Linked DNA regions of Struthio camelus. The protein of the gene in region 3 purifies or fractionates together with the protein of the main gene of each other region. This does not show direct contact. Links are inferred from orthologs where the notes say so. Each region holds a gene or a part of one and is shown on either strand. Other genes may lie near its edges. The genes, in order: PIP4P2, PFDN1 and PRKAG3.

What was found.
Region 1: the proteins of PRKAG3 (region 3) and PIP4P2 purify together in Homo sapiens (affinity purification with mass spectrometry; 3 studies listed by BioGRID and IntAct, with this or other methods). This does not show direct contact. The link is inferred for Struthio camelus from reciprocal best matches to the Homo sapiens genes PRKAG3 and PIP4P2.
Region 2: the proteins of PRKAG3 (region 3) and PFDN1 purify together in Homo sapiens (affinity purification with mass spectrometry; 3 studies listed by BioGRID and IntAct, counting the BioPlex papers as one, with this or other methods). This does not show direct contact. The link is inferred for Struthio camelus from reciprocal best matches to the Homo sapiens genes PRKAG3 and PFDN1.

The regions. Positions count from the first base shown.
Region 1 is NC_090943.1:150,597,584-150,605,499, reverse strand, and holds the start of PIP4P2 (type 2 phosphatidylinositol 4,5-bisphosphate 4-phosphatase), read right to left. Parts: upstream 3,079-7,916; 5' UTR 2,788-3,078; coding exon 2,682-2,787; intron 1-2,681. UniProt on the Homo sapiens protein: Catalyzes the hydrolysis of phosphatidylinositol-4,5-bisphosphate (PtdIns-4,5-P2) to phosphatidylinositol-4-phosphate (PtdIns-4-P).
Region 2 is NC_090954.1:23,573,405-23,580,835, reverse strand, and holds the start of PFDN1 (prefoldin subunit 1), read left to right. Parts: upstream 1-4,428; 5' UTR 4,429-4,449; coding exon 4,450-4,542; intron 4,543-4,877; coding exon 4,878-5,044; intron 5,045-7,431. UniProt on the Homo sapiens protein: Binds specifically to cytosolic chaperonin (c-CPN) and transfers target proteins to it. Binds to nascent polypeptide chain and promotes folding in an environment in which there are many competing pathways for nonnative proteins.
Region 3 is NC_090947.1:28,380,811-28,388,340, reverse strand, and holds the start of PRKAG3 (5'-AMP-activated protein kinase subunit gamma-3), read left to right. Parts: upstream 1-4,433; 5' UTR 4,434-4,475; coding exon 4,476-4,508; intron 4,509-5,414; coding exon 5,415-5,454; intron 5,455-5,798; coding exon 5,799-6,043; intron 6,044-6,140; coding exon 6,141-6,222; intron 6,223-6,341; coding exon 6,342-6,400; intron 6,401-6,811; coding exon 6,812-6,857; intron 6,858-7,056; coding exon 7,057-7,111; intron 7,112-7,441; coding exon 7,442-7,530. Other genes in the region: tubulin monoglutamylase TTLL4, read left to right, coding at 372-454, 1,295-1,439. UniProt on the Homo sapiens protein: AMP/ATP-binding subunit of AMP-activated protein kinase (AMPK), an energy sensor protein kinase that plays a key role in regulating cellular energy metabolism.

The DNA.
Region 1 (7,916 bases), on a different chromosome or scaffold from region 3:
CATGCACGACGATAAATCTGTTAGCGTACACTCGGACAGTAGTTTTGAGGGCAGAGGGTTTCTTCCTCCTTCCTCTACCCCTCCAGCTCCCCAACATTCAGCTACTGATTAACAAGCAAGTGCTGTGGAAAGCATTTTTAAAAGTAAACTTCATTTCCCCTTGAGAGTGCTTCTTCTCCCTAGGCCAGACGTGGGCTGGGGAAAGAGATAAAGACTGTCTGTCAGCTAAAAAGGCTGTCTAGCTTGCACAGACAGGGAGCTGCTAACGATAGCTGAGCAAATACAGAGCTATGTGGTCTCTATAATACCTTTTCAAAATGTTGTTGTGCAATTTTTTTTTTTTTTCAAAACAGACTAGCATATTTGAACTGCTATTTGGTACAATCACTTAAGGATTGATTAAGCAAGAGATTAAACTTTTAAAAATACGTCTGACATTTAAGAAAGCTCTATGGTTCCTCCTCCCTTTTGAAAGCAAGGCCACTTCTCATCTCAAGTACCAAAATCTTCTCCTAGGGAGTAGATACCACTTGTGCCAAATTAGTTAACACAAGTTACAGATATGCACCAGAGACACAACAGGATACAACTATTAACTGAAACGAGCATTTGGGCCAGCTTGTTTGTACGTCACAAGATTTATCCTGCATTCAAACATTAGTAACTGATCTAATGCATTTTCATCACTTATTTAATACATAATGACTTTTAAAATAGATTGAAATGCACACAACAGTATCAGTTACAGAGTAAGGACCGCTAAGAATAAAGAATGTTGAACAGGAAAATGTCAGTTAAGGTAGATATATCAATTAAAACAAAAAAAAAACAACAACAACAACTTAAGGAGTGAAAGCAATCCTACAAAATCTGATGGGGACAAAAAGTCTGATTTCTGCTGTTTTTCACTATAATACTGGTTTGTGCAAGTCAAATGCAAGTTAATAGTCAAAATCAGCTACAGCACTGAAAGAAATACATTTTCATATCAAGGCACAGAGATCCAGATTTCCGTTAGTTTAAAGATTACTCAAAACACACAGACGCTCACTTGTGGGACTTCCTTTGGCAGTCCCATCTACAGTATTTTCATGTATAAATAGCTTATTCTGAAATTGTTATTATGTAGAACAACACACACATACATATCTATTTACATAGACATGTAATAAATCTATACAACTACATAAAAATCCTTAAGAAGTACCCAACACACTCTAGCCAGAAAGGGCAAGACTGTAATCTTACATTTAAAAGGCTAGCAAAGCTACAATAATCTTATTTAGTCTCAACTCTCAGCCCCTCCTCCCCCTTTCTTTCTTTTTTTGAGCCAGTTAAACTCTTTTCAAGAAAGCAGAACGCAAAAAAAAAAAAATTTTTGCATTACTGTATTTTGTAAACTGACCAAGTTTATGAAGCTGTATAGTCACATATTGCTACCTCCTAATTTGAATTATTTAAGTTACCCCCAACTACTAAATGTTCAACATTCATCAACAAGATGATTTCTGTAAGTCTGCACAAGAAAGTTGAGTACCACAAAATGAAGTTGTTATTCCAGATTTGCAACTAACTACTTGCTTTAAAAATAAAGCTGAAAACACCCATGGCCTTCGATCGGTTTGCAAGGGCAACCTAGTGTTTTGGACTTCAAGTACCACATTGCCCAGAGCTACTGGCTCAAGTCTGACTGCCAGAATAAGAACAGATCAGATCAGCTGGTGCCTCCTAGTAGGGCACTGAAGATCCCTAGAGATGCAATAGAGATGTCTGCGCTTTTAATCCGTTCTGTTTTGACTCTCTACATCATGCCTCTACTGCTTAGCATCCTACAACTCACTGTACGGAATTTAACTGTTCATAGTTAGGTATCTTTTCCCTAAATCCTACTTCTAATTAATAGGAGAACTGAAGTCCAACAATTACCTTGCAAGCTCCAACATGCGACTCAGCTATAATAACCAGACTGGTTCAAACTCGTTCTGCAACTGCAAACAACTTTTTTTTTTTTTTTTTTTTTTAAAAAGAAGAGTTCCTACTAGGATTTGGTGCAGGGTGCCACACACGACCCGCCCCGCTCCTCCACGGCGGCACCTGTCGGGCCCAGCGCTCCCCCGGCCCCCGGGGCAGAGCAGGGGCCCTGTCAGCCCGGCCCGGTGCCCCCCGCCCCGACGGGCCGCCAAAAAATAAATTAAAAAAGAAAAGCGCAAACGCCAGGAATAGGCGGCCCCAGGTTCGAGGTTGCGCCCAGCTCCGCAGCAGCGGGGCAGCACCGCCCGCGGCCGTTCCCCCCCCCGCAGGGCGCAGCGCCGCCTCCGCCAACGAGGGCGGGAGCAAACGCCTGATTCAGCACGGCCGGGCCGGGGGCGGCCTGGCCCCGCAGCGACATGGCGCCCGGCCGCCCCCTCCCCCTCCCCCTCCCCCCCCACGGGGCGGGCCCGCGCCCCCGCGCGGCCGGCCCGGCTCCGGCTCCGGCCCTGCACGCGCCCAACGGCCCGGCCCGCGCCCCCTCCCCCGCCGGCAGCGGGGCGCTCACGGCTGCGGCCAGCCCCCCGGCAGCCCCGCCGCCCGCGCTGGGGCAGCCCCGCGGCGTCCCTCGGCCGCCCCTTCCCCGGCTCGAGCTGCGGCGCCGCCGCCGCCGCAAGGGCCGGGGAAGGAAGGAGGGCGGGCGGCCGCCTTACCTCGGGGGCTGCTGTCCGGTAGATACGGCGGCGCCGTGGGGGTGACATTGCCGGAGCCGGGCGCTGACAGCAGCGGGGAGCGCTCGTCCGCCCCCTCAGCAGCCATGACTGCGGCGGGCAGGGCCCCGCGCGCTCCCTCGCTGGCGGCGGGGCGGGGAGAGGAGGGGCGGCGGCGGCGGCCGGCACCGGCGGCGCAGGGGAAGGGGGGTGGCAATGAACGGGGCCGAGGGAGGAGGAGAGACGGCGGGGGCGGCGCGGGCTAATGAGCGGGGCGGGCCGCGCTGCCTCCGCCCGAGCTGCCGGCCCCGGCCCCGGCGGCGCGGCGCGGCGCGGCGCGGCGGGAGCAGGGCTGCCCGGGGCTGGGCGCCGGCTGCGGCCTCCTCCGCCCCTCACCTGCGTGTCACGACAGGGCCAGGCTTTCCTTCCGCGGTCGCTGGCAGCTACCGGGCGCACAGAAGGACCACCTGAGGGAGGGTTGGGCGGGAAGGGGCTGCGGGGAGCCGCTAACGGTGCGACGTGCTGCGGCGCCGGCCGCCTGCAGGCAGCGTCCCCTGCTGCCCCGCGCTGCGCAAAAATAAACGGCGAGAAGGCCGGGGAGGGGGGCTTGCGGACATGGGTGTCAGAGAAGAGATGTTAAACAAGAAAACAGGGAGGTACTAGCTGATTTTGCTGTTGCCAGTTGTCTTTTTCAGGAGGTCGAGGAGGGAGACTGATGGGCCGCGCTGAGACTCTACTCACTGAGGCGCGAAGATGATGAGGTGACCTTTAATTCCGCTTTCAACGTGAGGCGATAAATCTACACGCTATAAAATCTGCTGTTCATCCGAGAAGGGTTGCCTGGTGTCACTGAACTCTCTGTGGACTTCAGGACTTATAAATTTGCTTCTGCTAGAAAGCCCACTCAGGCACCATCTGGAAGTCTCGGGCAGAGAGGGGGGAATAGCCTTTCCTCCAGGCAGAGAGCAGGGAACAGGCTTTCCATTGCAGCCAGCATTGAAATAAGCAGATGTTTGTCACCCGTGCGTCATGCAGATCCATTATCCATAGGTTAGAGATAGCCAGAGCCAGACTGTGATAATGCCACAAGATCTGCAGTTACTTTGAATAAAAGAGGATCTTCGTCATGACTTTCAAGTACTATCTAACATCCCAAAAGTGCAGTCCACTTCTTAAAATGACATTTTCATAAGAAATGGGTAGTGAGTCTTAACTGGGAAACTATATCAGATGATATCCTAGTCTGAAATTTCACTAGCCGGTCATATTCCTTCCTAAATATGATTTTTACAGGTAAAGTGCTGTTATTTACATCCCATTGAAAATTTTCTGCAGGAGCAGTTTTTCACAAGAAGAATAGAATCTAGGAAATCAAACTACTTTACAAGAATAGACTGATGTATTTGAAAGTCTGTATGAGAAATAATCAAAATATATGAAAAGGAGGCTGATGTATTTTATTTCTGTAAGGTTGAAACGATTCATTTTTACTTTAGTAATTATAATATTGAATAAACATGCTGTGGTAAAAACACAGCATTTTCATAGGTTATTGTAATATTTTAAAAATATTTTTAATTTTATAGCAAATTTTGAAATATTGCCTAGTCGTCTCACTTGGGACAAAATTACATTTTTAAACGTTGTTATTTGCTGCACAAATAAACTGCGTTTCAACTAGCTCTGAAAATACCACATAAGGAACAATACGCTACAAGGCAGCTGGCTGTTAGGCCAGGTATCTTCACTGTGCGGGAAATGGAGTCATGCCATGTCACACTGGCTCTTCCCGTAGAAAATGTTGTAACTAACTTGGAAGGTGCTTGTTTGATTTAAATTGGATTGAACTTTCACTTTCCAGTCAGCTTAAAAAGAACTCTCTCAGGATGAAATCAACACTTAAAGGCTTTTTCTGTGAGGAGTTTTAGGCCTTGCAGTGTTTTTTGTACCACTAAATCTTTCATGTTGCTGAGCTACTGTTAGGCTGATATTAGCAGGTTAGGAACAGGTCTTTACTCTTACTAGTCAACATGTATCTTGAGCACGTGTTCTGTATGTTTTTATTAGCACATACCCACGTTTCAACTGGTAGACACAGGCTTTCTTTTGGAATTTTAATATAGGACCTGGCATTTGCAACCAGGTTTCTTTATCACTTTTCATGGATTGCGAAAAAATACAATACTTTTTTTAAAGCCACTTACTAGGCAGCGTTGAGTTCCACCAAGATCCATTCCATCCTGTAATTTCATTCTGCAGTTTCAGAAAATTGATTATGTGGGACCTAGCCACTAAACTGATGTTCCATGCCTCAGAGGGAGACTAAAATCCCTAAGATCACTGTCAGCTATGCAAAGGGAAAGCTACGTCACAACTCAGTTCCGCCAAACAGCTTAAGCCTGCACTTACAGGCAAGAATTGTTATTTCACATCCCAGCATGCTGACCTATTATTGGAAATATGACTGTCATCTAAATAAGTACCCACTCAAGATTTAAAAAAAAATGCATTTCTCCAGCTCCTGTGATCTGACTTGCCAGAGTTCTTTAAATCTTTTATTCGCTGGAGCTGCTAAACATTCTAAAATAGCAGAAATCAGTTAATAGTTCAACCATTTGCCTCTTTTTCAGTATTTTGAATCCATTGTATTTAAGGTAACTAAATGTCTGCATTTCAGCTAAAACATTGCAGTCTGACGTTTAGATCTGCTGTCATCATCTGCAATATCCAAGTTAGTTTGACCCAGCCAGTAACAACAGAGGATACCAAAAGGTGCACAAACAAACGAGACGATACTTTCAGCTAGTAACAAACACTCTGTGCATGCTACTCAGGCTGCAAAGGGAAGAATTCGAGCACTGGATAATGCCAGATTTAAGACAACATAAGCAATGAGAATTTGCTACTTTCTTCCTGTCCTTCTTCCTCTGGACACAAATGCCTTATGATACATATTAATTACACCACGTGCAATTTTTCTTCTATTAAAATTCTGCCTTGTTCAGTGGGAAGGATGCTCTCTCCTGAGCAGCCCTGCTCATGACTGCGCTACCCAGATGATAAATCCTGCTTGAATTCAGTGCCACAGCATTTCTAGCACAGGCCATGATGCAGGGCGCATCACCTCCTTTTGTGCACTCAACCTCATTGCCCCTGGGCGCCTTTGACCTGTGAGTTACAGTGTGCCTTTGTGTATGCCGCGTAGTTGTATTGCGCTACCTGTTTATGGTGCCAATGAATCTTGAAGGTCCTCCGCTATAAAGCCCGTGCTGAATAGAATGTGGTTTTAACAGATTCTTAGTTTTGCAGGGGTTTATAGACTGAAACTGCTGTTTTACATACACAGAATAATGGTTAGAGCACTTTTATAGCTGGCAGCTGACAACAAAGGGAATTTTTGCTGGGGACAAGGTGGCTATGCCTGTATTTAGGATTATTTTTCGAGTTGAGGGAAATATTTTAGATACAAGACTTGCAGGGAAGATGCCTCTGAGAAGTTGATCTTCCAAAGGTTTCTCAAAGTGCCTTCATCTGTGTCGCAGACCTAAATCACACATGCACTGCTCCATCCTGCCCCAAAGTTGGGCTGTTGCATATGAACTTACGTATAATATGAGTAAGGGCAGAGCAAGACAGGATATTACTTACTAACAAGGAATATATTAAATAGAGGCATAAAATTAAAATGCCATGGCATATTTTCTTTCATTTTTTTATTTACTTTGCATCATTTTTGTGACCTTTTGAAAAGCCTGATAACGTTCAAGTTTTCTTTCATTTTGAAAACGTTATCTTCCTCAGTGGTTATTTTGTTTTTCATTTTTCCTAGATAAAAGAAAGAACTAAATTAGTTTAGCATGAGAAAAAAACTGCACTTTTTGAAGCTATTATCAAGCGCAAAATATTTGCGTATCAACATTATAGAAAGTTTAGCTACCGCTCTTTGTTAAATCAAGACTGTGTAACTCATAGTGCAAAAAATTATTGTATGGAGTCCGTAGGTATTCTACTGACTTTTCCCGGGTAACTTTGTAATGTATGAGTTAAATTTAGCAACAAATAACATCCAAATTTTGTATTGCTTAGACTGCAAGCCTAAATCCATTGTGGTAGGAGATGTTCAAACGCACAGAGCACTGCCTTGATCTTTTATAATTTAAAAAAAAACCCAAATTCAGTAGGTTTACAGTCATAATATGGGTATTGCACGTTCACATAACATCCCACTATTTGTGTAAGAAATGGAATACTGTTTTTCTCGGGTCTGATCAAAGGGCCTATTTGCTAGATCAAGCTTCCTCCTAAAGGCTAAAGGAAGAAGAAAGAAAAAACCTGGGATCATTTGCCTCTGTTATGAAACACACAGTTTTCAGATACTATGCAGGCAGTATAATAATCTAAGTAAACACAAATTAAAGTCATATTATACATCTAAACCTTTGAATGATAAAATCAGACTTGAGAATGGCTGAAATCAATGAAAAGCCTTTCTATTGCCCTTTTTGGTACTGGATAAGACAGTAAAAACAAAAATAAAAATCTACTGTAATATGCTTGCAGAATTTTAGTTTAAATTATTTTTGAAAGATCTAGTTATGGGCTATAGCTGATTGTTAGACTAGCTGAATTTCTAGGCATGTCAAAAATTGAATACAGCAGTGCTGTGAAGGAGAAGGTAAACTGAGTGACTAAGATTTTTGTAATACATGGTGTTTGTCTTAATCGTCTCTTTTCCTGTGTTACTGAAGTAAATTGATTTCTCTTCTGCTCCTTGGTTAGTATATGGGAAAAAAAAAGAAAAGTGCTTATTCTTATATTTTCCCAGATCCGCTACATTAAAATGAGGTGCAGTCGGATACAAGAAGATCTGGCTAATTTTCAAAAACTGTAAAACATAAAGGGAAATGTGAGCAGCATATAGAGCAAATGCAAAATCCTCTCATGATTTTAATTCACAGATGTATCCTATGCTGCAAGACTAAGTCTATAACAAGGTATAATTTTATACCTTACATAAGTCTAAGAAATGTAATAACGATATCGTGTATAATATGAAATATAGGTTATAATATAACAATTAACACGTTAAAATAACTAACTATAGGTTTGCATATGTGGTCACATGTAAGGTAACACAGTTTAATATAATATGTATGATACAGTATCCAGGATATCCAGGATAATTTGAGAGTATATTTTGAGAGACTGGCAAGTCTTTTGAAAATGCTTCTCAATTCC
Region 2 (7,431 bases), on a different chromosome or scaffold from region 3:
GGATCTGGGTGCAATGGGTTGTCTCGGGGCAAACCCGCTCACCAGATCTACTCTTTCTCGGAGCCGTAGAGATGCTCAGATCTGGCCCAGGCCCATCAGTTTGAGTCTGGAGGTGGAAAGCCAATATTTGCTCTTTTTGGTGAGATGCTGCTCTTACCTTATCTGGTGGGTGTGCACAGGGCTGTTCCTCACGCCGGCATGGCCCAGTTGCTGGCACAGATTACTGCTTCTGCCTTCACCTGGAAATTTTTCCAGCCTTGGCCTGGTCAGACTTCCCTCCCACGATGTTGTTTCACCTGACATATCTCCATGCCAGTGGTTGCACCTTGGCCCTTCTGGTTTATTCTCCAGCACCAAGGAACTGAGAGGTGCAGAAGGAGGCTGCTCAGGGGAGAGGCATGTGCAGTGGCTGGAGCTGCCTGCTCCAACTCTGAGCTTGGTGGGTAGCAGTGCAGTGCTGGGGGCCCAATGGTAGTTGCAACACCTTGAAACACCTCTATGCTCAGGAAGGCATAGAAAAAGGCAGACTGGCTCTTGGAGCAACGCTGAAGGGTTCCAGGTCTGCTCTCAGGCTTGCAAATCACCAGTGGCATATGTAAAGTTGGGAAGCTGGGCAGAAGTCTGCCTTGCGTGGTGGCTTGGAGCAAGCACCAGTGTATCACAGAGCACTTGCCTGTGCTGAGATGGGAGGGAAGAGCTCGCTTGGGTCACCACACTGCAGATCCCCTGGGCTGAGGCATCATTGTTCACTCCTGGGCATCCTCCAGCCTTTTGTGCTATAAATTGCCAATGACTCAGGCAGCAGGACGTTCAGGCTCCCCCGAGGAGGCCAGGCCACTGCCGTATAGAATTAGCTGCTACAACTCTTCCTGCTATTCAGTGAAAGGTTTTCCTTTTCTCTGCAGGAAGTGTTATGTGTTGGATACACCAGGATCCGTGGGGCAGAGTAGCAAGAGGAACTGGGTTACAACAGCCATCAGTGTCTCAATAGTTGGAGGTCTTAGATAGGGGGATTGAAGAGAAATATCTCTGCTACATCCAAGGCTTGGGGTTGAATCAATTCAGAGCACGTGTGGTCTTCAGAGCATGGAAAAGGGAAATGGCACGAGGCCTGGATTTGTTCTCATCTTGGGGCAGGTGCAGTGGGTTGCAACAGGAACTGCTTGTCCCTAAAGGTTGGATCTTGCATTCTGCTTTTAATTAATGGTGTCCAAAGAGGTTGCCTCCTGCCTGCCTCAGATTACAGAATGGTACACTGGGTATTTTAATTTTTGCTGCCTTCCCCTAAAAGACTTCTGATAGCCTCATCATGATCTCACCTCTTCTCCCAGCCCAGCTGGGCAAACTCCAAGGAAAACTCAGGCTGGAGGGAGTGATGGTGATTAATTAGTGGGCGCGCATGTGGGTGAGTCAGGCTGCATCAGTAAGGCAGCACAGTGCTGAGGGGGTCACCAGGCAGCTGAAACAGCTTTCTCTGCATGAAACACCATGCTGCCATGCTGACCACATGCAAGAAATGGATTCCCCTGAGGATCTCACCACGCCACCAGCATTAACTCAGTAACTCCACCAGGCAAGGACACAATGCTTCTCAACCTCCCCCTCAGCTTTTAATTGGATTCAAGATCGTCTGGCCCTCCCAGTCCCAGACTGCTGCCATGTGCCCTTACATGCCTCCTACTTTCACTGCTGAAGCAACTGCCTTTCTGCAGAGGGTGAAATGACCTGGCCTCCTTCCCTCCTGCAGCATCTCAACGCCTGTCTGGATGACAGGGCTGTGTCTGACTGCCAGGTATTATTAATAAAGCATCAGTCTGGCTCTGGTTTTAGCTACTGCTACTGCTTTTTGATCTGTCCCTTGTATCCCCCTGGCTTTGGGATCCTCTCCCAGAGTCTGGCTGGGGGTGCCTTTCCTGTTCAATGAGTAATGAGACAGGCAGCCCGCGTTCTCCACTGTGTCTGGTACAAAGCCTTCCCTTAGCAGGACCTCTTGCAGGCTTGGCAGGAGCAGGCAGGCTAGAGCCTGTCAGTAACAGATCACCTCCTTTCTCTGTGTTTCTGTAGAGAGAGATGGCCTCACACAACTATTATGCACCAAAAGGCAATGTTGTAGCTAATCATTTGACGAACTAGTTCACTTCCTTGGCATCGCATCTAAACTGCCAGCTCAGCAGAAGGCTCAGCCACAAGCTCCAGTTCTACCCTGAGACACACGAGACCCCCGGCTGTATATCACCCCCTTGTGTGACAGCGACTGTGCGCTGGCAGAGTTATCCTAGTTGTGTCAGGGTCTGCATCTGCCCTTGCATCTGGCAGCATCTACAGATGGGGTTTAAGCCACTGGTACGGCCCACCAGGACTTAGGAGTTACCCAATGCCAGAGCCACCTTGGAGTGGAGGTCACACAAGGCTGCTGTTAGGCTGCTGTTAGGCTCCTTAGCCCCGCCAGACCTCCCCTGCAGCCATGCAGAGCCAGCCTGGGTTGTTAGTAGACGTCTACTGGATGGTGGATGAGGCTGGCATGAGAACCACACAACCTAACTGTGTATCGCACGACATAGTGGGGCAGCGTGGGATAAACGTCCATCCAGCTATACCAAAGAGCTTCACCCCTGACCCAGAGGGCCTTCCCTGCCTGTAATCCTTGTGACTCATGCATTCAAGGCCTCTTGGCCAAGCTGCATGTTTGGGAATTGGAACAAGACCTTGCTTTGGAAATAGGGCGTTTATTGGCAGCCTGTAGCTGGGAAAGAGCTCCTTCCAGTGAGATAAAACAGCAATGAAGTTTATTGGAGAAAGGCAAATAAAGATCCTCTTTAGCCAGTGGAACCCACTGATACATGAAACTTCCCCTCGATGTTGGCAAACCCTTTATAGATAAGGTATGGCCACCCATGTGAACACCTGCCCCCCAGGATATCTTGATTCCCATTTTTCTGTTCTGGACGTGACTCAGTTCCTTGCCAGCCCCATGATACTTTTAGCTTGGCTGCGTAGCACTGCATAAACAGTCAAACACATGGACAGGCTTCATGAGTCCTTGGGTCCAGCAGATGGGCATCTCAGTTCAATGACAGAGCCGGCATGCTGTCCCCATGAGGGGTACCTGCAAGGGCTTGACAGCCTCTTGAAACAGCTTCAAAGCCTCCCAGGAGACTGTAATCACACACCTGGTCCCCAGGAGAGGCTGAGTCCCTTCATAGGAAGGGCAGCTCCATCCCCTCTGGTTTTCTTTTCCTGCTCTTCCAATACATTTTCTGCTTCACAAAGGCCATATCTCTCTGCTCCAACATGGTACCCCAGCTTCCTGCTGAACTGGCATGGCCAAGAACACCCATAATGGGATCAGCTCTTTGGGGTGACCTCATCTGCACACCACTCAACAAGGTCTCACTGCTGACCAGTGAGGTGTCCATGTGGCCCAGTAAAGCATCTGTGTGGCAATGAGGCATCTGTACAGCAAGGTACCTCCATGGCACAATGAGGCATTCTGTTGCCTAGCAAGGTGTCTCTGTTGTCTGGAGAGGTGTCCCTGTGGCTCAGCAAGGCATTTCTGTTGTCCAGTAAGGCATCCGTGGAGCTCACAAGGCATCCTCACTGCACTATGAGGCTACCACTTGCCTTGCTGAGGAGTGCAGGCAGCCAGGTGAGGCAATTGCATGGCCTGGCAAGGTGACCCACCGCTCACTAAAGCATCCAGACTGCCTGGCGAGCCATCCATGCTGCCTGTGAGGCATCCTCGTGACCTGATGAGACATCCCTGATGCTTGGCAAGGCATCTGCCTAGCCTGGGGAGGTGCTGATGTGTCCATGCTGCCTGATGAGGTGTTGCTGTGGCCTGGTGAGATGTCTGTGTGGCCTGCTGAGACATCCCTGCTGCTTGGAGAGGTGCAGGCATGTCCCAGACAGGTGTCAAGGAGTCCCTGTTGCCCAGTAAGGCATCCTTCCAGCCTATTGAGGTGTCCCCACTGGCCAGAGAGCCAAGCTCATGTTAGCAGCCCCCAGGTGCATATAGGTGCCATAGCAGTGGGTGCCACCAGACCCGCTGCACTCAGCCATCCCCTACCAGTCCCAGCCCTGCCCGGGCTGTCCTTGCCACAGAGAGCAGGCAGCGGGCAGGAGGCAGCACCGGGGCCAACCAAGACTGCAGACCCCCCGGGTGTCCTTGTGTCCCCGTGGCCGTGGGGCCCAGCCTATGCAGGCTCCCCAGGCCTTGGTCTGCCCTCCATGCCCCGGTTGAGGGCACAGCTGCTGGCAGGGAAGTTGCTGGGCCCCCCTCCCCAGGGACACACCAGGGCGCTCCCTAGAGCCCCCATCACTCCAGGATCCCCTCTTGCCCCTAGGATTCGCCCCTCCTCGCCAGTTCCTCCCTTCCCCCCACATTTCCCCCCTCCCCCCAGGTTCCTCCTCTCCCCACGCTCCCCTCTCCCAGCCCTCCTCCCCGCGCGCATGCGCACCTCAACGCGGCTCCCGCGCTCCCCCACTGCGCAGGCGCCGGGGGCAGACAAGATGGCAGCGCCCGTGGACCTGGAGCTGAAGAAGGTACCGGGGACTTCCCCCTCCTCCCCGCCCGGGGCCGCAATCTGCCGCGTTCTCCTGCCTCTCTACCCTCCGCTGCGGGGGTCTGGCCGCCTCCGTGGCCGGGGAGTGTCCCATCGCCCCGGTTGGGTGTTCCCGGGTAGGGCTTTGCGCGGTCCCCTGTTTTGGGGCAGCTTGGGGCCCGCCGCGGCCCCCCGGCGGCCTAGCCTTAGCGGCCTGGGGGCTCCCGGCCTCTACCCCGGCCTGGCAGCCCCAGCCTAGCCCCAGCCTCGCCTGGAACGGCCCTGGCCCCGGCCGGGCGGCCTCAGCCCCTCACCGCTCCTGCTTTCCCCCTTCAGGCCTTCACGGAGCTCCAGGCCAAGGTAATAGATACGCAGCAGAAAGTGAAGCTTGCCGACATCCAGATCGAGCAGCTGAGCAGGACGAAGAAGCACGCGCACCTCACTGACACGGAGATCATGACGCTGGTGGATGAGACCCGCATGTATGAGGGTGTAGGGAGAATGTGAGTATCATACTGGCCTGTGGGGCGAGTAGGGGAAGGCCTCATCGCTGTACTCTTCCAGACTGCTGAGAAAACAGCTCACAGACGCCTTGTGCCTACCTTGTGCTGGTAGTCAAATGAGGTAGCAGTTATAATGGTAGCCTTGCATATGGGGAGACGTTCCTTGCCTCAGTACTTAAAAGGCCTAAGGCTGCTGCCTCAGGCCAAAGATTCTTCCCTACTGTATGGCTGCTTCATGAAGAATATAGCGTGTGTGCATCCATTGAGGCATACTGGGCTTTATCTCTTGGCATCAGTTGCCAGCAGTCTTTTTTACAACTTTTATTGCCTTTGTGTGCTTTTGCTTTTTGGCTTTGCTCTTGGCCTTAATGGTCTTATTTGGACTGTCTGGAAATTTTGTAAGCTAGATTGCTAGAACAGGGTTCTAGTGACAAACTGTGTTTGCAAGAAGATGTCACAAACCTATGTAGCCATTCGTGATGGAATAGTACACCATTCCTGACGTAGTTCACGTCAAACTCTCTCAAAAACACCCATGCCCTTATGCAGTGCATATACTCAGGGCTCTGCTTGCACAAATGTTCTACAGAAATGCAATATCATGTCAATGAATGTCAGTGCTTGCCATTGGCCAGATTTTTTTAAAGACTTGTAAGAGAGCGTGAAGCTTGTTTGCAGTCGCTGTGCAGCTGTAAAGAAAGTAGTACTTTGATGTGTTGGATGGATATCAAAACATCTTAGACTAGAATTAACATGTTTTGATTAACTCTGACAACCCACTTCTGTTTGACTTTAACAGCCTCTTATAGAAGACCACACAAACCAGTTTCAAAAGCTGATAATGCATGCTTACTAAATAAACATCACAGTAACTTTGTGCAAGACTTGAGAGTACTGTGATTTTTCTGTTTCATTGCAAGTTGGGTAACAGGGATGACTATGCTTAGCTAGGGATGTGGTTTTGTGAAACACTGAATCTGATGTAACTGCTGCCAAAAGGGATGATTGTGTCTACTTCTTCCCCACCTGTGTTTCCCCTACCTTCTCTGTGTTGAAGTAGGTGATTGCGCAACCATGCAGTGAGTTTCATCAGCTTGCTGATTCAGTGAACAAGTTGTTCACCAAAAATGCCCTGGTCTGCCTTCCGTCTGACCACAAAATCTCTAGATCCAGTCTCAGAAACTGGAACTGGGAAGTGAGGAATGGTACGCAGATTGCATTTTACTGTGAGTTTTCAGATGAGACCAATGGAAAAACGAAGTTGTACCCAGACTTACGGAGATGCTCAGTGTGACACGCAGCATCCTTCTGAATTGCGTTGTATGGCTCCGACTTGCATTGTGTGGCTCCCAGTAAATAAATTTTTCCATGCAGTTGAATTAGATGTTCGGTTTGTGTGGGGATGTTAGCAACTGGTACCTCTAAAGGAAACAGATTTTTGTCCCCTTTCAAGAGGTGGAGTGACTGTAATATGGTCTGGGAGCAGGCTATAGGTGTAGAGAACGCTAATGTTCAAAGCAGTGTGACAAGACAACTCATAAGGGATTGTGTTTTTTGGTTTTTTTGTTTGGTGGGTGGGAGTCACAGCAGACAAACTAAGAGCAGAAGATAATTTTGGAGGTTCAAAAATATATATTTTAATCTTAAAGCTAAATACTTCTGTATTGAAAAATCATACAGATTAATTTAAAAGAGTGAGTGTATCAGTCTTTACGATGAAGTAAAGTAGTATTGCTCGCAAATGAGATGTGAGTGGCAAATGGTATCGGTTCCTGCACTGGCTGAATTGCATCGTGCTGCTTTCTATTTCTCTTCCACTTATGAGACACCTTTCTTCTTTGCTTCCTAGACCACTTATGCTTTTTCTGTTTGCAGTAGTTGCTGGAGTGAGTGTCTTTTAGGGGGTCATACTCTGCCTGCCTTTCCATGACCAGATAGGGTGCTGTAGGCCCTGCTGGGCAGCTCTCTATTCCTCCGGGATGGTAAGGGTGCTAACTGAAGATATTTGCCTTATGATAGCATTTAAAGGCTGGACTCTTTATGGGTTTTGTTGCATCAGTCACTATGCAAATGCAGATTAAGAGATTGCTCTCGCTGTAAATACTCTTCAGTCACTGAAGTTTGTTTGTTTGTTTTTTCTTCTTTACCTTGATATCATGGTATTTCTGAGCTCTGCCTATTCTAGCCATGGCATTGAAGGATGTCTCGCAAATTGGCATTCTGTTCTGGTAAGCTCTGGGTCACTCTCCAGTGTGAAGATCTCACACGAGGAACACAAGACTCTTCCTGTAACCACTTCTGACCACTAGCAGAGAATTTATTGCTGAAATTCAGGCATTTGGTGAAGCAGGCTACAGATACATTTAAGCAGGAGCTAATTCAAGGGC
Region 3 (7,530 bases):
TGGGTGCGCTGGGCACAGCCCCAGATATTTGGCATCTTGTCAGCCCTATGTTTCCCTCTGAGAGAACAATCTTTCTGTCACTCCTGTGCCTTAAAACAGGCTCATGCAGTGAAAGAAACCCACTCTTTTGACCTCAAGATGCATGCAACAGGGGGACTCATTAAGCAGAGTGCAAAGACTGCTCTGTTTGCTATTCTGGGAACAGACTGGTGGCAGTGATGATGCATGGCGGTGTGAGGGCAGTTTAAACTCAAAAGCACTAGGGCAGCCTATAGCAGAGCCCAGCCTGCTTGGAGCACAGCAGGGCGAGGAATTTTGCCATATATCAGCAACCTGGGTAGCCGCTTGATTGTCTTTATCTCCTCCTGCAGTGGTCATTGCCAAAGTCTTTCTTCCTCCAGAAAAGCAACATTCAATCAAATGGTTTCAGCAAACTGGAACTGGGCAGACTGGGGTGAGTTTGCACTGGCTGTGATATGTGTGATGTTTGCAGTGTAACTTTAGGACTGGTGTTATGAGAGAGAATGGGCACCAAGGAAAGCAGCTTTGTTTAGGAGGAGAGGAACAGGTTGGCTTATGGGGTCAGCCTTGGCTTTCTGTATAGCCAAGTGGTAGGGTTGATGAAGTGTCTACAGGACTGGACATGTCTCCATGGCACTGTGTGTCCAGCTCTGATGGCAGTGAGGCTCGAGGGGAAAATGGCTGGGCTGGGTGATGTTTGGAGAGCAGCTGTCGTGGGGAGGACACGGAGAAGAGATGTTCCCCAGGGGGACTTGTACCACCTCTGTGGGCTCTGGCATGGCCAGCAGTGAGTGGAGGCTCTCATGAGGTCTGTCCCCCAACGTGGGGCTGGGAGAGCCTCCCTCACTGGGAGGCCTCCTGGGCTGCTACACTGTGCCAGCTTCCCTGAGCAAAGCTGGACTGCAAAATAGGCACTGCTGGTTCACTCGGATGAACCCCCGTCCTCCATCTCTGTGCAGGCAGCTGTCTGGGCCAGTGGGACAGGCACACCACTGGTGTCTGGTGTTAAAGGGACAGGGATCCCTGCCCTTGTGCCTGGGACAGTATGCAGTTGGCTTTATGTGCAGCCAACTCTTGCCCTAATGTCCTCTCCACTGTCTTGGGTGTCTGTTGGGGTGATTGGTGCTGCCTGGGAGAGGGATGGAGTAGGGGAGCCCGGCAGCCTTGTTTTCTGAGGCTATATGTGATGGTATCACAGACGAGTGTTCTACCAAGCCCCCTTTGATCCTTTTTCATTGTTCCTAAGCAGCATGGGGTCTCCTTTCTCTTGCAGCAAACTCCTCCCTTCAAGAGAAGATGAGGACCCCGCAAGAAGCCTGGAGCCCAGCCCTACACAAAGTTTACCTCTCAACAAGTGCACTGGTGGAGCTGGCCAGAAACCTGCTGGCTGCCTCTCAGACACTACCCTGGTGATGTGATTAGGCAGCCACTGTCCCTCCTTGGGGACACCTGAACCTACCTCAAAGGAAGAGAGAGGAGCTGGCTCCAGAGACCAAGGACTGTGGGAGCCCCTTGCACTGCCCACTTGCTTGTGGGATGTTTTTAGAGAGGGATGTTTTACTAGGCAAAGGGGAGAGCTGTTCAGCTTCAGATTTTTAAAACAAAAGAAATCTCCAAATGGCAAAGCCTGGGGAAGTCTGATTTGTCTGGCCTTTGTCTTAGGCTTTTGTTAAAGCCTGATGTGGTGGCAGCTTCTCTGCTGCGTGGGAGCTGGCTGAGCTTGGAGTCAGCCCGGCCTTCCCTTTTGCAACCAGCATGGGCTGAGCCCTTGCTTGCCTGTGTCACCCTGCACTAGTCCTTAGCTGCTAGGAGCCCAGCAGAGCTGAATCTTCTCTGGCCTCAGTGCAGCCTGGCCCCAGGGGAGAGACCGGTAGCCCCAGGAGAAAAAAGCTACCCCAGTTCCCCTGCCACTGCTCAGCTCCTCTGGGAGGAGTGGGGTTTGAGACTTTTAACTGACCTGTTTTATCTTTTCAGAAAGCCTGTGCCAAGATCCTTCCCTGCTGCCCTCCCCCAGCCTCGGAGCCTGGAGAAAGCCTCAGGCTTATGCGTCACCACTGCTTGCCTGCAAAGAGAAGCCGCAAATTCTAGTGCGGCCTACTGTGTGTAGTGGGGCCAGTACAGCTGCCAGGAAGGGGGCATCCTCTCAAGGCTCTTGGCTTTTCTGGGTAATCCTGCAGTGTGTGCACAGGGGCCGCAGGCTGGTGCTGCTGTTGTGGGCTCTGATCTGTTTTCCCTTTGTTTCTCGAAGATCTCCATTAAAGTTTAGCACTCTCCGCTGCTCTCATGGACTTGACCTTGTTGCATTTTCCTGATGCATTTGGGTACAGAGGGCAGCTCTGCTTCCCCCATGCTCTGTCAGGCTCAGGTGCAGGCAAGGTTTGTGCCACCTCTTAGCCCTTCCCCATAGTCAGTGAGGGCTCCTCCATCCCGCCCCAGCCCAGGGCTCGGGTAAACATGGCTGTAGCCTGACTCTCCCCTTAGGTAAGGGAGCAGCTCCTGGTGTTGCAGCTTTGCTCTGGAGTCTGCCTTGTGTCCCAGTGCCAGTCTGCTTCTGCCAGAGGTGCTTAACCAAGGTCTGCACAGCTTGGCCAGGACTGGTTTCTCAGCCCCAGGCTGGGCTTGATCCGGGGCTTTTCCTTCTCCTGCCAGGGCTATATGGGCTGAGGCAGGCACAGGCTTGGGCAGCACAATGAGAGCCAGTGCTGCGAGAGGTATGTGCTGCGTGCTCTGCTCCCGCAGGCGTCCCCACGGCTGGAGGAGGCTTTAGTCCCAGCTCCTGGGCCTCTGCACTTCAAAGCCTGGGTTTGGGGATGAATGAGCTCAGCCTGGGGCTGAGAGAGGCACTTGGAGAGCTCCTCTCTCTTCCCTGGTGTGTAAATCCCTCCCTGCGCTAGGGGGAAATGCCAGGCTCTCAGGTGCTCCCAGCTGGCCTGTGCAGCAGGTTTTATCCCCTAAAGCTGCATGTCGTCTTCCCCAGGCTGGGCAGCCCCCCTCAGGGGAAGGGGTTGCTCTGGGTCGGTGCCAGGTGAGGTGCTGAGTACAGCTCCTGAGGCACTTGGGCTTGCAGAAAGCCCTTCTCTCCTTGTAGCCCCCCAGTGCCTGCAACTCGGTCTGTGTTTCTCCAGTCTCCTTGGTGATAATCTCATTGCTCCTCGGCTTCTCTCCAGCACCCTAAAATAGCTGCTGGGGTGCGAGCGTGAAAGGGGAGAGGCACGCTCCCTTCCCTGCTGCCAGCACCCCTTTGGTGGCCAGGCTGGAGCCGGGCAGCCCTGGCTCAGCAGCTGCCTCTTACAGCTGCGCTATGTGGCCTGTCCCCATTGCACCCTCTGTGTTGCTGCAGGGCAAGTGCCAGGCTGGGCTACCTGCTGTGCCCTTGTGCCACCCTGGCCTGAGCTGTGCCCTGGTGCTGTTGCCCAGCACCTAGTTCCCTGCCCTCGTCCCTCCTTTTCCTCCCTGCACCCCACCTCTTGAGGCAGGGGCTTTGCCCCTCTTACCCTTGGCTGGGTGCTTGGGGCTGGCTCCCTCCTCCCTTCTTGCATCCAGTGGGTATTTTGGGAAGCTGTTGGCTGTGATTTAAACCCCCCTGGCCCAGCCTGGCAGCATCTCCCACTTGCTGCACTGTGAGCAGGTGACCCCCCCCCCCAGCCCCCCTGTAGGCGAGGCTGCAGCCGTCCCCACGGGTCAGCTGGAGCCACTGTGTTCCCTGGGCTGCCGGGGGGCAGGACCAGTGGCCACAGGCCTGCTCGCCCACGGTTGCTCCCAGCCTGGCATGGCAGCTGGCCAAGGGGTTATTTGAACCTTCCTGAAATAGAAACGGAGCTGGGAGCAAGTAGAGAGTGGGAGGGGGTGGCCCAGGGGGTGGTTCCCCCCCCCTCCCCGGCAATGGGATCCCCCCCCATCATGAAACCTGTGGGGAAAGGCTGAATCCAAGAGGAGGCCAGTGCAGTGTGGGACCCAGGGGCAAGGGGACCAGGGTCTGGGCTGCGCTGTACCCCATCCCCAGCTGCACTGGCTGCCCCCAGCCCGGGGCAGGGGCCTGCCCTCCTCTTGCACCCCTGGGGGAGGTGGGGGTACAGTAACCCCCTCCCTGGTCCTGCTGGCATCCCTGGAGGCAGGCAGGCTGGGGGGCAGCATGGTCCAGGCACAGACAGCCCCAGGGCATGCGGGACTGCATCCTGGGAGGTGCTGAGTGCTGCCCCTGGAGGAAAGGGGTCTGCAAGGGGCAGGTTTTCTGCCAACGGCTCATCTGTCCATCGCCCCCTTGCATCCCTAGGGCCGCCGCCATCCCTTCCAGCCCACCGCCCCCAGCAGGTGCCGCGGTCCGGGGCGGCGCGGCGGCTCCCCCTCCCTCTCCGCGGTGGCGGGGGCATGGCTGGCATTGCTCACTGACACCCTATCTGCCAGGCCCCGGAGCAGCCGCGGGCCCAGAATAGCAGCGCTGCCCTGCAGTCGGCATGGAGCAACTCCCGGGCCCCGCTGCTCCCCAGGTACTGTAGGGGTGAGTGGGGGGCCTGGCCCGGCAGCCCCCCTCGTGGGGACATGGGCAACCCTAGGTGGGAGGCTTGGAGGGCTGATAGCCCCCTTCCCGTGGCCAGGCAGCCCTGGGGACAGGGGTCCAGAGCACAGCCCGACTTGGGCGCCTCCCCCAGTTTGCTCCAGCCCCACGGGAACGTTTGGGGTCGGGGCGGGAGGTGTTTTGGTAGGGTCACCTCCTTCCTGCGGTTGGATTTAGCTCCCTTTTGGAGCGGTCCATGGAGCTGTGTTCGTTTGTAAACATTGGCTCTGCCAGCAGGTTTGTGATCCGGGATTGCCGTTCCTGCTGCGCGTGCTGCTTTGTTATGGTAGGGTCTCCTGGGGGCCTGGTGGGGGCCCAGGGCCAGCCAGCTCGCCGTGCTGCTGTCCCTCTGCCTGGGGCTGCCTGCGCTGCTGTTGTAGGGTCTCCCCGGGGCGGCACCAGGCAGACCTGCTCCCCAGGTGGCAGGTGGGGCTGGCTGGGTGCCCAGCATCGCCCGCCCCGCTCGGGTGGGCCAGGCCTAGGATTTACACCGTGGGGGCCGGGGGAGGGAGAGGAAGGGCGCAGAGCCGCTGCGGGACCTGCTGCTTTCACACAGCAAAGAGAGGACCCAGGCGTCCGGGGCTCGAGCCACCACCCGGAGAGCAGGCTGAGCCACAGGCCGGCTGGGGCTGGGGGGCTTTGGCCCCACGGGGGCTGTCATGGCAGGGCCCTCTGGGGGGGACTGGGGGCTGCTCCCCATCTCTGCTCTGGTCCAGTCTGCCTGGCTTGGCCCTGTGGAAGGGGGAGCTGGGCCAGCGGGACGGGTGCAGGCAGCACCCTCGGGTGGGGGAGAAGGGGGGCTGGCTCCTGCTGACGCCCCCTCTGTGTGACCCCGCAGATGTCGCTGCTGGACGCAGCTGCCCGCCCGGAGGAGGAAGGTGGGTAGCAGGCAGCGGGGCGAGCGGGGCCTCTCCAGGTGGGGTGGGGGCTGGCTCACGCATGCAACGTGTGCGTCCATCCTCAGCTCGCCCCCGGCCCCCGCGCAGCGAGCCCTGCCCGTGCCCCTTGTTACCCCCTCCTGCACCCCTTCCTAGCTGCTCCCAGGGTCCGCCAGGCCCTGCAGCTGGGGAGCTGCTGCGCTACGTGCAATCCCTCTCCCCGGGGGCTGGGGCGCTCTGCCGGCCCCAGCGGGGCAGTGGAGACAGCATCTCCCCCCACAGCATCCCCTCGGTCCCCTCTGCTGAGACCTGGCAGCTCAGCTCACCACCCGGGGCTGGGGCAGGTCCAACCACAGGGTTCCCGGAGGCACCGCGCACCAGGGAGGAGGAAGAGGAGGAGGACAGGCGGAGGGGCGCGAGGCCCGTCGCCTTCACGTTGGGCACCGAGATGCTGGGGCTGGGGCCGAGCCCGGACAGCGAGTTTCAGAGCCCCGACGCCGAGGTCTACATGCACTTCATGAGGAGCCACTGCTGCTACGACGCCGTCCCCACCAGCTGCAAGCTCGTCGTCTTCGACATCACCCTGGAGGTGAGGCTGCGGGGCACCGCGGGGGCCTGAGGGTCTGCAGGGACCGGGGAAGAGCAGGCTCGGGGACCCCCGACACCTCTCTCCGTGCTGCCGGCAGATCAAGAAGGCCTTTGTGGCGCTGGTGGCCAACGGGGTGCGAGCAGCGCCGCTCTGGGACAGCAAGACGCAGAGCTTCGTGGGTGAGCGCCGGCAGCAGAGCGACGCCCCTTCCCCTGCCTGGCGGCTCGGCGGCCCCGGGCCGTGGCCGCAGGGCTGCGGGCTGCCCCCGCCGTGGTGCCAGCCCCACGTGTCCCCGCAGGGATGCTCACCATCACTGACTTCATCAACATCCTGCACCGCTACTACCGCTCGCCCCTGGTGAGTGCCGGCGCGGAGGGCACGGCGTGCCGGGGAGGGCACGGGGCAGAGGCAGCCCTCGGGCAGGGAAGGGGCTGTCCGTGGCCCAGCTCCCTGCGGACCGGCAGCTCCTCTTTTCCCCTCAGGGCTAATTTTTGCCCTGGGGGTGCTCTGAGCCAGCCCCGTGCCCGGCGCGGACCGCTGCACCCGGCAGGGGTAGGGCTCGGCGGTGCGTCTGCCCCCCCAGAGGCTGCCGGGGTGCAGGCGGGTTCGGTGCCCCGTGCCGGGCACCCAAGGGGTCCCCGAGACGTGATCCCCGTGCTCAATGAGACGAGGTGGGCTGGCCGGGGAAGGGGCAGCAGGCAGGGCTCGCTCCCCCCCTCCCGGAGCCCCGCGGCCGCCAGCCGTGACGGAGGCTCTCGCTGCCCTCAGGTCCAGATCTACGAGGTGGAGGAGCACAAGATCGAGACGTGGAGAGGTACAAGCGGGGGTGTCGGGACGGGGCACGTCGCGCTTGGCGTGGTGGCGGGCGCTGGGCTGGGGGTGGGGGGTGAGGCAATGGGACACAGGGGCGCGCGCGGCTGCACGGAGGGGTGGCGAGGTTCGGGGAGCGGGGGGGAGCCAGCCCTGCTGCTGGCGCCATGGGGGCCCCCGCTCTCGTCTCTCTCCCTTCCCAGAGGTGTACCTGCAAGGCTCCTTCAAGCCGCTGGTGCACATCTCCCCGAGCGACAGGTGAGTCCCTGCCCTGCGGCGGGGGCGCCGGCCCCGGGGCTGCCCGCCGGCTCCGCTCTGCGCTGCAGCCCGCTCGCCGCCTCCGCGAGGCCTCGACGGCCTGCAGCCCCTCGGGGCCGTGCTGGGGCTGCCCCTTGCCGGGGCCGGCTCCGGCGGCGGGGAGCCGCGGGGAGACGAACGCAGGAGGCCGGGTGCCCCGGCTGCCCTCGGCTGCAGCGGGTGGGGGCCTGCGGAGCGGTGGCCCCGGGGGGGGGGGCAGTGCCCGGGGTGCTCGGGGGTTTGGCGTGCACAGCCGCCTCCCCCTCCCTACGGTGTCCCCGTCGCCTACAGCCTCTTCGACGCCGTCTACTCCCTCATCAAGCACAAAATCCACCGGCTGCCCGTGATCGAGCCCGTCTCGGGGAACGTCCTGCACATCC